Linked DNA regions of Notamacropus eugenii. The protein of the gene in region 1 purifies or fractionates together with the protein of each later gene. This does not show direct contact. Links are inferred from orthologs where the notes say so. Each region holds a gene or a part of one and is shown in the gene's direction. Other genes may lie near its edges.

The links.
Region 2: the proteins of BAG5 (region 1) and DNAJC7 purify together in Homo sapiens (affinity purification with mass spectrometry; 4 studies listed by BioGRID and IntAct, with this or other methods). This does not show direct contact. The link is inferred for Notamacropus eugenii from reciprocal best matches to the Homo sapiens genes BAG5 and DNAJC7.
Region 3: the proteins of BAG5 (region 1) and DNAJB1 purify together in Homo sapiens (affinity purification with mass spectrometry; 3 studies listed by BioGRID and IntAct, with this or other methods). This does not show direct contact. The link is inferred for Notamacropus eugenii from reciprocal best matches to the Homo sapiens genes BAG5 and DNAJB1.

What each region holds. Positions count from the first base shown.
Region 1 is NC_092872.1:349,352,373-349,356,131, forward strand, and holds the start of BAG5 (BAG family molecular chaperone regulator 5), read left to right. Parts: upstream 1-1,599; coding exon 1,600-1,805; intron 1,806-1,970; coding exon of another isoform or gene 1,971-1,988; coding exon 1,989-2,078; coding exon of another isoform or gene 2,079-2,138; intron 2,139-2,344; coding exon of another isoform or gene 2,345-2,422; intron 2,423-2,651; exon of another isoform or gene 2,652-2,982; intron 2,983-3,759. Other genes in the region: COA8 (cytochrome c oxidase assembly factor 8), read right to left, coding at 1,418-1,792, 1,971-2,138, 2,345-2,422. UniProt on the Homo sapiens protein: Co-chaperone for HSP/HSP70 proteins. It functions as a nucleotide-exchange factor promoting the release of ADP from HSP70, thereby activating HSP70-mediated protein refolding.
Region 2 is NC_092873.1:358,508,214-358,511,972, reverse strand, and holds the start of DNAJC7 (dnaJ homolog subfamily C member 7), read left to right. Parts: upstream 1-1,387; 5' UTR 1,388-1,480; coding exon 1,481-1,566; intron 1,567-3,759. UniProt on the Homo sapiens protein: Acts as a co-chaperone regulating the molecular chaperones HSP70 and HSP90 in folding of steroid receptors, such as the glucocorticoid receptor and the progesterone receptor.
Region 3 is NC_092875.1:76,447,832-76,451,590, forward strand, and holds the start of DNAJB1 (dnaJ homolog subfamily B member 1), read left to right. Parts: upstream 1-926; 5' UTR 927-1,084; coding exon 1,085-1,295; intron 1,296-2,762; coding exon 2,763-3,343; intron 3,344-3,759. UniProt on the Homo sapiens protein: Interacts with HSP70 and can stimulate its ATPase activity. Stimulates the association between HSC70 and HIP. Negatively regulates heat shock-induced HSF1 transcriptional activity during the attenuation and recovery phase period of the heat shock response.

The sequences.
Region 1 (3,759 bases):
TACGTCCTGATTTTCCCCTCAAACATAGAGACCTGGGATTAGCTAGCAATAAATTAGGGCAGAGATTCAAACTTCTGCCTAAATGTTAGGAATTTTCCTTTCTAGGAGCTCTTAGGTATTAAGATATAAATTCCATAAAACAACAAAGGGAGAGAAAAGACCTAAAAGAGTAAGAGACCTAAGGGATATTATATAGTCATTAGGCTAAAATTAATCACTTGTTTTTAGAATGCGGTTGATCATATCTCCAGAGAAAGCCAGTATGGAAGAAGGTTGAGCTCTGGCAAAAGATGCCATCCTAACCCCTTTTTCCCTCTCCCCCCACAAAAGACGTAGGAGAGATTTAGCTGTGCCCCCATGTATCAGGGAAGACGGGAACAGAGAGGAGGGGGTCCTGGCCAAGGGTCACTACCCACCATAACTAAGGCCCGAGTCAAACCAAGCACCGGCAGTCACCGTCCGACGGTGTTTACTCCTTGTTCTCGACCCCAAGCCAATCCGCAGGGAGCAGCTGCGGAATTCCGGGGCTCAGAGAGGAGCCGGCCTGAAGGGTCCGGAAGCGCCAGGGACAGAGAGTGCGCCGGGATTTGGGGCTCCGCCACGATGCGGGACGTCCAGGCAGCGCTTTAGGAGCTTGGGCCGCGGGAACGTGCGGCTTAGGGCGCGCACACACGACTCCATAAAACCGCATCGAGGTTCGGCGACACAGACACCAGCCGTGCCCCTCCACAGCCGCGATCAGGGCCGATGTCACCGCGCTCCCTGCAGGGCCAGGCCGGTCAGTCACTCTCTTCCGTTCCGAGTGGGGATGAGCAACAGACAGGCGTGGGGTTCAGTGACTGGCCGGCGTGCCACCTCTCACGGGCCCGGCTCAGGGACAGACACACGTCGGGGCTCCGCGACACTCTCGGCCCCTCCCCCCACCCGGCCGAGGCTCAGAGGCAGACGCACGTCGGGGCTCAGTGACTGTCTGCCCCTCCCCCACGAGGCCGGAGCGGGTGCCTCCTCTCTGCCCCTCCCCCCCGGGGGGGGGTCGCGGTTCAGTGACACGCTCCCCGCCCCTCCCCCCACCCGGCCGAGGCTCAGAGGCAGACGCACGTCGGGGCTCAGTGACTGTCTGCCCCTCCCACCACGCCGACGCTCAGTGACACCGAGACTGACAGCCGTCGGGGCTCAGTCACTCACACACTCACACACATACACACACACATATACACATACACTCACACTCACACTCACACACACACACACACACACACACATACACACACACACACGCCGAGATTCGTTGACACCCTCCCGCCGGCCCGGGCGCGGTGGCACCGCCGTCGCTCCCGCGGGTCACGGCCGGCCAGCGTACTTGCCGGGCCTTGCCACCTCGGGGGCCCCGGGCCCGCCCCGCTGACGCCCTGGTTACCCGGCTCCGCGTCGAGTCCTGGGGCTCTGGCCCTTCTTCCGAGCCGAGCCGGCGGCCGTGGCAGGAGAAGCCGCGGCGGGGCGGACGGAGGAGCCCCTGCCTCCAGCCCACCCGGGCGGCCGCCGCCATCGGCATCTCCTCGGCCCCGCCTCGGCCGCGCCGCTTTACGGCAGTCTCGTAAAATGGCGGCTGCGGAGGAGGAGCCGGAGAAGGAGCAGGAGCCCGGGAGCCGGGGGCCGACCGTGTACTCGCCCAGAGGTGACCAGCGAGCGGCGGAGGCGGCGAGGCAGGGCTCCATCTGGCCGCCGGGGCCGCCCCCGCCTGGCGATCCGGGGCAGTGCCGACGCTCGGCCTCCCGGCCGCAGGAGGACTCCTCTGGCCGCAGGGGGTGGGTCAGGCCTTCCCAGGGCGGGGGTGGGGGGCGAGGGAGGCGGAGCGGGAAAGGGGAGGAGGAAAAGGAGGGGCAGGAAGAGAAGGAGAGCTAGGCCGGGCTGCGGGGCCGGGGCCCGGGCCATGGTGGCGCTGGGACGAGTGAGGGGCGGCCGAGCCAGACGGGACGCTTTCCTTTCAGGGTCCGGCTTGAGGTGATAAGAGCCAGGGTGAAGGACTCGGCGGTGGTGACCGACTGCTCGCTGTGGCCCCTCCGGAGCGAGATAGAGGGGTATGTATCCCTCCTACCAGCCCCCACCCCCACCCCCGGACCGGGACCCCCCGCGGTGCCCTGCCGGGCCGGGACCCATCCTCAGTCTTCTCCCCACCCTTTTTTTTAAACCTTCCCTGACAGGCCATTGTCTCTTTTTGTCACCCCCCACAAACTCCCAAAGGCCAGCCCCTCTCTTTTTACTCCCTCCATGTTCCTAGAGGCCGATCCCCATTTTTTCACTCCCCCACATCCCAGGATGCCTTCCTTTTCTCAGATCCCCTCACAGGCCGGGCTCCCCTTCCCATGCCTTCGGAATCCGGGCCCCCGCTTTTTACTTCTCTACTCAGGGTGGGCCCCCCCATCCTTCCCTCCCCAAGTCTTTAGGTCTCTTAGCTTTGGGGGGCCTGGAAGGGGTGTCTCCTCACTATCGTGCCTCCCCACACAGAACCAGTTCTTTCCCCGGTGCTGCCCCCCCCCCCATGACCTCCTTCCCCATGGGAGGGAATGGGGTCATCGATTTTTAACTCACCCCTTAGGAGCGCTGCCGAGAGCCTCAGGAAGGTCCGAGGTCTCCCCTCCCCCATGGCGGACCCTATTGTGAGGTCAGGGCCAAGTCAAGGCCTGAGATCCCCTGGAAGCCAGGCAGCCCAGCCCAGGAAGCCAGGCCGTAGAAGGTGGCCGTAGTGGCCGGTCCCCTGAGCCCTGTGCTCCTTTCAGAACTAGCCGGGGCGGGGTGAAACAGGATGCAGCTTTGCGCTTTGACACCTAACCCGTAAAGGGGCTCATCCATCTTAACGTAACAACTTCTGGAAGCAGACACAGGGGCCTGGCCAATTCCAACACTGCTCAGCAATTTAACATCATTTCTTTCCTTCTGGGTAACTCGAGGAGACCATTGACGTGGTGACACCAGGAGCCCAAGGTGGGAGGTGGCACCTGGTCCAGATCCTCATTCACTTCTGCCTCCCTAAAATTTTTTAGTAATTTTATGGCCCTGCTCTCTGTAAAGCCAATAGGAAGTTTTGAAACTAGTGTTTGTGAGTGAAAGTTCAATTGGCATTAGTTATATTTAAATTAAATAGCAGCACTCTGTCCCATGTAGACCTGATTTGGAGGGAGGGGGGAAATGGCTGTCGTGGAATTTAGAACTGGAAGAGACTTTGGACTTAGATCACCTAATCTACCTCTTCTCCCTTGCATCTTATAGATGAGGAAATTGAATGAAACCCAGAGAGGGAAGTGAAATAATTTACCCAGAGTCTCAGAAATAGGTAGTAGAACCTAGGATCCAGTCCAGCTCTTCTGACTTCAGATATTGCCTGCCTTTCCACTAGTGCTGAATGTTTCAGCCTTGCCAGATTTTTAAAGATAAGGTTTTTGAGATTTTGGAGTGATGGTAGGAAGAAAATAGAAAATCTGTAGATCAGCTAATGATCCTAGGGAATAAGAATTTAGCAGAAATCTGATGTCGGTATTTGGTTTTTGTTTGGAGGGGTGGATCTTTCCTTAAATAGCCTAGTTCTTATTGTTACATTTTCTTTGTTGGGAAAAGGAGGGCAAAGGGTGATTAGATCAAAAAAGGAGTTTTACTTACCTTAAGTTCTCTTTTTTCAACCATTTAACTTTTTAGTGTTATATAAAACAAAAGGAAAGAGCAATTTGATGGCTTAAAAAAACTTTGAAGAGTAGAAACTAAAAG
Region 2 (3,759 bases), on another chromosome or scaffold:
GAGTGAGAGTCTGGGACCAGTCTGGAGGCCCTGGCAATCTCAAGGTCAAGGATATGGGGTAGAGGATGTACTAATCTCTCATTCCCCTTAATTTGTTTGCAGAACTGTACAAGTTGATTAGGATTCACTCATCCATTCAACCAAGCATTTATTAAATACCTCTCATTAGCTACCTACTATTGAATACCCCCAGAAGGAATTGTAGATGGAAAAAAAAATAGAAATCGTCACTGCCCTGGAGAAGTATATAGTATATTGAGGAGTGGAGAGAAGTATGTACACAGTCTATACAAAGTAATTTCTGTGTGGAGAGTACTAGTTAGTAACTGGAGGGGTGTGGGGAATTAGAGTAGGCTTCCTCTAGGAGTTGACACCTGAGTTGAAACTTAAATCAGGAATTCTATGAGGATCCTAGATTTTAGAGCTGGAAGGACACTGGGTGGAGAGAGCACCTACTCCAACTCCATCTTTCTGCCAAATGAGACATAAAGGTCACACAAGGGATTTAGTGGCAAAACTAGTTCTCAACCCTGAGCCTTTCCAAAGCTCTTTCCTCCACATAATGTGGTTCATTTCATTGAATGCTGAACTCGCTGAATTCATTCAGCTGGATGCGGGCCAACCAACCCCCCAATGAAGTCAACTAGCATCTATAAAGGGCCTAGATGCACCAGGCTAAGCGCTGGGGCCCTGCTCCCGGGGGCTCCCAGTCAGTCCGTGCATCCCCGTCCTCAAGTGCGTCATACAGTTTGGGGGCGCCATCAGTCGCGCTTCAAACCAGGTGGATTTACAGGCGTTTCTGTTACTTTAAATCTTGACCCCATGGATGACTGCCCACTGTGGGGTGGTGCACGCTGGGTGGGGACAGCCGTTGGGATGGGGCAGGGGCGTGGGGGTCCCCCATAAAGCACGGGTGGCACCCCCGGGCGGCCCACATGAAAGGCTGCCCATAAAACAGGTCGGAGCGTCGTGAGGGGGAGGCCCCCGCCGCGCCCGGGGATCCCGGGCGGGGATGAAAGGAGCGGGCCGCGTTCCCCCCGCTTGGCTGGGCAGGGCCCCGGAGGCCAGCCCCCCAGCTGGCCGGCCTCCCGGAGCCCCTCCAGTCGCCTGGTCTCTCGCGCCCAGCCCAGGGAGCAGAACGCCAGGGCGTTGCCATGGCGACAGGGCCCTCGGAACCCTGAGGCCGAGCGCGCGGCCGCGCCCGCGACAAGCACGGATCCCCGCTCGGCGCCCCGCACGCTCGTCCAAGCTGGCTCCCCCGATGAGCCGGGGCCGCCTGTGGGCCCGCACTGCGGCCCCAGCGCCCCGACGCGGCCCGGCCCCGCTCTGGCAGCCCGCGCGCCCTCCCGCCGGCCGGCGAGCCCGAGAGAGCCTCTCTGGGCGCGCCCAGGCCGCCGCGGCGCCGCCGCTCGTTGCTCCTGCGCCCGGAAGTGCTCCTTACCGCCCGCCCCCCACCCGGCTCCCCAGCCCTGGCGGTAAGATGGCGGCGGCCGCGGAGTGCGATGTGGTAATGGCGGCGGCGGCCGAACCCGAGCCCGAGCTGCCCGACGACGAGGAAGCCCGGAGGTAACGAGGGCGCCGGCGGGCCCCGGGGAGGGGGCGGGAGCGGGCCCCGGCTCCTGGGGTGGGGAGGCCGCCACCCCCACCCCTCCCAGCCCGACTGGGCCCTGTCCTCGCGCGGCTGGGGAGGGGGGAGCGGGAGTCATGATCCGGGCTGCCGTGACCCCCCCCCCCCCGCGGCTCCCCGAGGTGTTGGGAAGGGGGGGGGAGCCCTAACCCAGAGCCTCCGGACGCCCGCAGCCACAGCCGGGCCCCGCAGCTTTTGCTGTGTGACCTTGGGCGAGCCCCTTGGCCTCTCTGGGTCTCGACGTCCAGCTCTTCATAGGGGGTTGGGGGGGGTTCGGGGTGGAGGCCCCCTCCCCGCACGCTGCTCCTCCCCCTTTCCTCAGCCCCGCCGGGTGCCCGCCCCTCCACCGGCGAGGTGATCCCGCGCTGCCCATTCATGCCCCGGCCCCCTGCCTTGCTCCGTGGTGTTACGTTCTGGACGGATCGGGCGGGGGGCACCGATCCCTTCTGCCCGCCCTTCCACCAGTGTCCTGGGGCTCAGGCAGCGGCAGGGGCCCGAGAGGACCAGCCCCGGCCTCCGCCGCCCCCCGGGAGGTCTTTCTGGGAAGGCCCGGATCCCTGCTACGTTGTTGAGGGCTGTTATTTGAACTGCCTTCCCCCTGCTGTGACTCTCAGTCAGAGCCCCGTTTGGGATGCTTCTAGGCTGTGGGCTGGACTCCGGTGCCCCTGCCTGTGACCCAGGCCCTGGCCGTAAGCGTACCTTCAGTGGGGTCAGTTTAATATTTAGCCCTTCTTAAATTTTCACTCGGATCAAAGGATGGCCAAAGTTCACACCCTGAGATTTCGATGTGATGGCAGACACCGAAGCACCTGCGAGCAGTTTAACTCTACTCAGGGCCCAGGTACCATAGTGGGAAAGGACCCCCCAAGGCTGGCCTCAGTCCTGTCCTCTAGTCAGCTGAGAAGTTAGAATAAACGTGATCCATTCTTCTAAGGAATTGCAAAGTGGGAAGCAGTAGTCCATAGGCCTTCCTCCTAACTGTACACCGACCCAGCCCTCCATGATTAACTAAGTTTAACCAGGTCAGAATGGAAGTTTGGAGATTCAGTGCTGAAAATGAGATGGGGCTGAAGAGTTCAGCATCCTAGGAGGTTGTCTTCCTATTTATACAAGTTTCACCCTCTCTCCTCCCAGTCACCTGTATCTCCCTCTCATCCATATTGGAGAACAGGAACTGGGGACATTCCCTAGAAATCTCCTTTTGCATGCTGACGTAGCCACTTTCCTGACTGGTCGGGGTCAGTTCACTTGGGAACAAAGTGGGAAACATCCCTTGGGCTGATTTTGTGAGGCTGTGTTTGTGTATATGGATGTGCTGGGTATGTCCACTGGGGCCAGGCACTCCTTTGGCTCAAGGAAAAGGTTATCTTTTCATCATTGCCACCTGTCTTTGCTGCTGAGCTAGCACTGTCCCAGCAGGGGGCAAAGTAAGGGTTTTCTAGAATTCTCTGGTGTCTAGGCATCAATAGTTGTCATGTTTAAAATGGGCATTAGGTTTCATTTTCTTAACCAGGTCTCCAAGGGAAAATGAAACTACTTATTTTGTGCTCTGTCCTTCTGGCAGTGTTCTTTTTTTCCTGAAGAAGCGGAAATGAAAGCTATTTTAGTCCGAAAGGCTAATATCTGCTATAGAATAGACTGAGATTCTACGCAGAGATTCTTGGTTCCTCTTGCCTCTAGAAGAGCTTCATCGTATTAGGAATCAAGGAGCTGATAACGTAGCTTAAAATTCTAGTGGTTCACGTTCTCAGGTTCACATTTTCCTATAGAATACAAGCATTATCTTCGTGACTGCTTGAGTGGGCTACCCATGTTGACATCCCGCCTACCCTGAGGGCTCTGTGGTAAAGCAGCATAGCTGTTGTTTGATGCCTCTAGGGATGTACAGCAGATTGGCTTCTATAGGAGGTATTATAAGGGTAAGTCTGGGCTTTGAGTTGTTCCTTCTCTTCCTTATTAAAGAATAGATTCTTGTTTACACACATCTGAAAGTCAGTGGTCATTTAAACAGCTTCCTTCACCTACAGGGCCTCTAGAGTCCCTTCTGGTTCCAAATCTGTGAACCTGAGCAGGGAGAAATGAGGAGAGTTATGTCCTTAAGAATCACTGTACCTGGATTTGTTTCACCAAGC
Region 3 (3,759 bases), on another chromosome or scaffold:
AGAGAGTATTCTAGGCCTGGGGGACAGCCAGAGAAAATGTTCTGAGCTGAGAGATGGAGTGTCTTGTTTGTGGATCAAAGAGAGTATATGGTTAGTGGTTCAGGACACAAAGTGTTAAAAAAAAAAACATGGAAAGGTGAGGAAGGGAGTTAGATTCTGAAGAACTTTAAACGCCAGAGGATTTTCTATTTGATACTGAAAGTGACAGGGAACGACAGGGTGTGTGACATAGTCAGATCTGAGCTTTAGGAAGGTCGCTTTTGCAGTTGAATTGAGTGAAGATGATATTGGAGTGGAGAGAGACTTGAGGCAGACCCACCAGTCCGGGTGATGGGCTTGCACCAAGGTGGTGGCAGTGTCAGAGGAGAAAAACTGAATACTATTAGAAAAAGCTCCGAATTTGGAGTGGGAAAAGGCAGATTCTTCTTCCTTCTGCCACTTACTAGACACTTTTAAGACAGCAAACATTTATTAAAGGTTTTCTGTCTGTTAGGAGGAGACAAAAAATAAGCCCAGAATTAACGATCTTGCCTTCTCCAAGCCTCAGTTTCTTTTTCTATTCAAGGAGATCTGATCAGATCACCAGTCTCTTTCAGCTCTCTTAAAAGCCAGGATCTAGGACTGAAACCCAGACAAAGGGGCGGGACAGCCTGGCCGAGGGGCGGGGCTTGCTCTGATCCTCAGGTGTGGGCAGAGCACTGAGACTGAGTCTTCGACACCCTGGAAAAATAGAAATTCCAGGAGGGCGGGGCAGTGGGGGCGGGGCTGGTTGAACTAGGTGAGGGTCCCAGAAGGCCGCGGGAGAACTGACTCGCGCTCGGTGGGGGGCGGGGGCGTTGCAAAAGGGAGGAGCAAAGAAGGCGGAGGAGTGCGTCTCGAGCCCGCAACCGTTGACGATCCTACCCCGCCCCAGGGTCACGTGTTGCGATTCGGCCGCCCAGGATTGGGCAGTGCGGCGCGAGGGGCGGAGCGGAAGGTTCTGGAGAGGGCTGGCGGGCTCTGGAAGCTTCCGCCGGGCGGGTATATAGCGTCCGGGCCGGGGCGGCGGCGGAGCCGTAAGGACGGCGGCGGGAGGGTGGGGGTCATGGGTAAGGATTACTACCAGACGCTGGGCCTGGCCCGGGGCGCCTCGGACGAAGAGATCAAGCGAGCCTACCGCCGGCAAGCGCTGCGCTACCACCCGGACAAGAACAAGGAGCCGGGCGCCGAGGAGAAGTTCAAGGAGATCGCCGAGGCCTACGACGTGCTCAGCGACCCGCGCAAGAGGGACATCTTCGACCGCTACGGGGAGGAGGGTGAGTCAGGGGCCCGCGGAAGTGGGAGCAGGCTCATCCAGGAGAGGCCCGGGCGGCGCTGCAGGAGGCCGCCCCCGGAAAACCAGGAGCCGCCGGGCCCAGGGGACGGCGCTCGCGGCGAGGCCTGGCTCCTGCGAGCCTGCGCCGTCAGCCCGGAGCCTCCCTCCCGGGGGACGGGGAACCTCTGACGTTTGCTCGCCCCCTGCTCGCCTCCGGGGCCTGCTGTGGGTTTTGCAATGAGCAAGAGTTACTTTTTCCCTCCTCGTCCCCGGTGGGGCTGCTGGCCCCCCGACCCCCGTACCCATTGGCTACACTGCCCTGCATTCCGATTGGCAGCCTTTCGATGAGAGGTGGAGACCTGGCTGGCTCAGCAGCTGGCTGTCATGTCCGCAGAACCTTCTAGCATGTTTGTTAGTCATTCCCCGAGAGAAGTTAGACCAGAGGCAGGGAGATCTTAAGGTTTTACTGTGGGCCTTCCCCAGCCTGTGGGTGTGAGCAAAGCATCTACTAGTATGTTAGGCGGGGTCTACTTTTCCTCCCCACGCCTTAGCAAACTTGTTTGATGACTTCCCTTAGCTCCATTCCCCTGGAGGATATATTGGAAATGCACCTCCTTTGCTTTCACATGAGAATATTAATGATGGCTGAAGTCAACTCCTGAATCCAGTAGTTAACCTGGGGACATTTCCCTACCTTATTCCAGTAAGAAAAAGATGTAGATGTCTTGGATGTGAAACATATCACAATCAGGAATTGCAGAGCTGAGGCTCGGGCTAGTTGAAGAGTGCTTTGAAAAAGGGGGGATGGGGATTTTTTTCCAACTCTAGTAACATTGTTTTCCCAAGCATTTTATAGACCTTAAAAGCACAGGGGAAAGGTTTTAAAATACTTATGTGGTAGTCAAGGCTCAAAAGGCATCGGGATCAAATAGTAGCCATTCTTTAAAAGGGCTAACTATAAGCAACTGAAAATAGCATATTTTGCCATTTAGAAAGAAGGCTCATACAGAGCTCAACAGAAGTCTTAGTGAATACTTAAGCTAGTAGAGCTTAAAATTGCATTAAAACTTTTGGGATACCTTGTATATCTTGACCTCAAGGAGTAACCAGCTGAAATCTAGACAAGAATAGAAGTTAATAACACTCTGTTAAATTCTTCCTTATTTCTCAGGTTAGCACTAAAATACGGTCCAGCAATTTCCCTCACAGACTAGGCAGCCCAAGGCTAGGATGCAAAAATCTAGCATCTTCATCCTATTGATAGCTAACATACTGTCTGTCTTGAAATAAGATCATGTCTAAATAGGAAAAATAGGAGTATAGAAAGTGGGGCAAAAAAACAATGCTTTCTATTTGTCTAATGATGCCCAAGTTCTCTCTCCTTGACTGGGGAAGAAGAAGGAGTTCTAGAGCAAGAAGAGCTATTTTCTTTGGCCAACAATTTGAATTCTCGTTTTTCCTTTTTCAGGACTGAAGGGTGGTGGCCCTAGTAGTGGTAGCAGTGTTGGTCCTAACGGTGCTTCCTTCAGCTACACTTTCCATGGGGACCCTCATGCCATGTTTGCTGAGTTCTTTGGTGGCCGAAACCCTTTTGACACCTTTTTTGGTCAACGAAACGGGGAAGAAGGCATGGATGTTGATGACCCATTTTCTGGCTTCCCAATGGGCATGGGTGCCTTTACCAATATGAACTTTAACCGACCTCGTCCAGCCCAGGAACACAGCCGCCGAAAACAGGATCCCCCGGTTACCCACGATCTCCGGGTCTCACTTGAGGAGATCTATAGTGGTTGTACCAAAAAGATGAAGATCTCCCACAAGCGGCTTAACCCCGATGGGAAGAGCATCCGCAATGAGGACAAGATCCTGACCATTGAAGTGAAAAGAGGGTGGAAAGAGGGGACCAAGATTACCTTCCCAAAAGAGGGGGACCAAACCTCAACCAACATTCCAGCTGACATTGTCTTTGTTTTAAAGGACAAGCCACACAACATATTTAAGAGAGATGGGTCTGATGTGATTTACCCAGCAAGGATCACCCTCCGTGAGGTAAGGCAGGATCTTTATAGACATACAGCTGTGGTTTATAGTAACGGGATTCTGGACTTCAGTGACCTTAGAGAAAGAGACTTGTGGCTTGAAAGTAACCATCAGTAATGAAACCCAGGTCTTTTTATTCTAAGTTTAGTATACTGTCTGTATCTACTATGCTCCCTTGCTGGAGACATAAACATCTCTCAGCACAATCTAGAGAGGAATCACATGTTTTGATTGCCTGTATGTGGTTAGTCATGCAGATCTGTGCCACACTTTCTGGAAACAGTACAGGGGTTCATATAAGACAAGTTGAAGGGAAAGCTAGTCATCCTTACCCAGTCAAAATCTTTGTAAGCCCTAGAATCTGTCTTTAGAGAAGAATTCTCTCCCTCTTAGTTGTTCATCTATTTAATTATATGCCTTTGCTT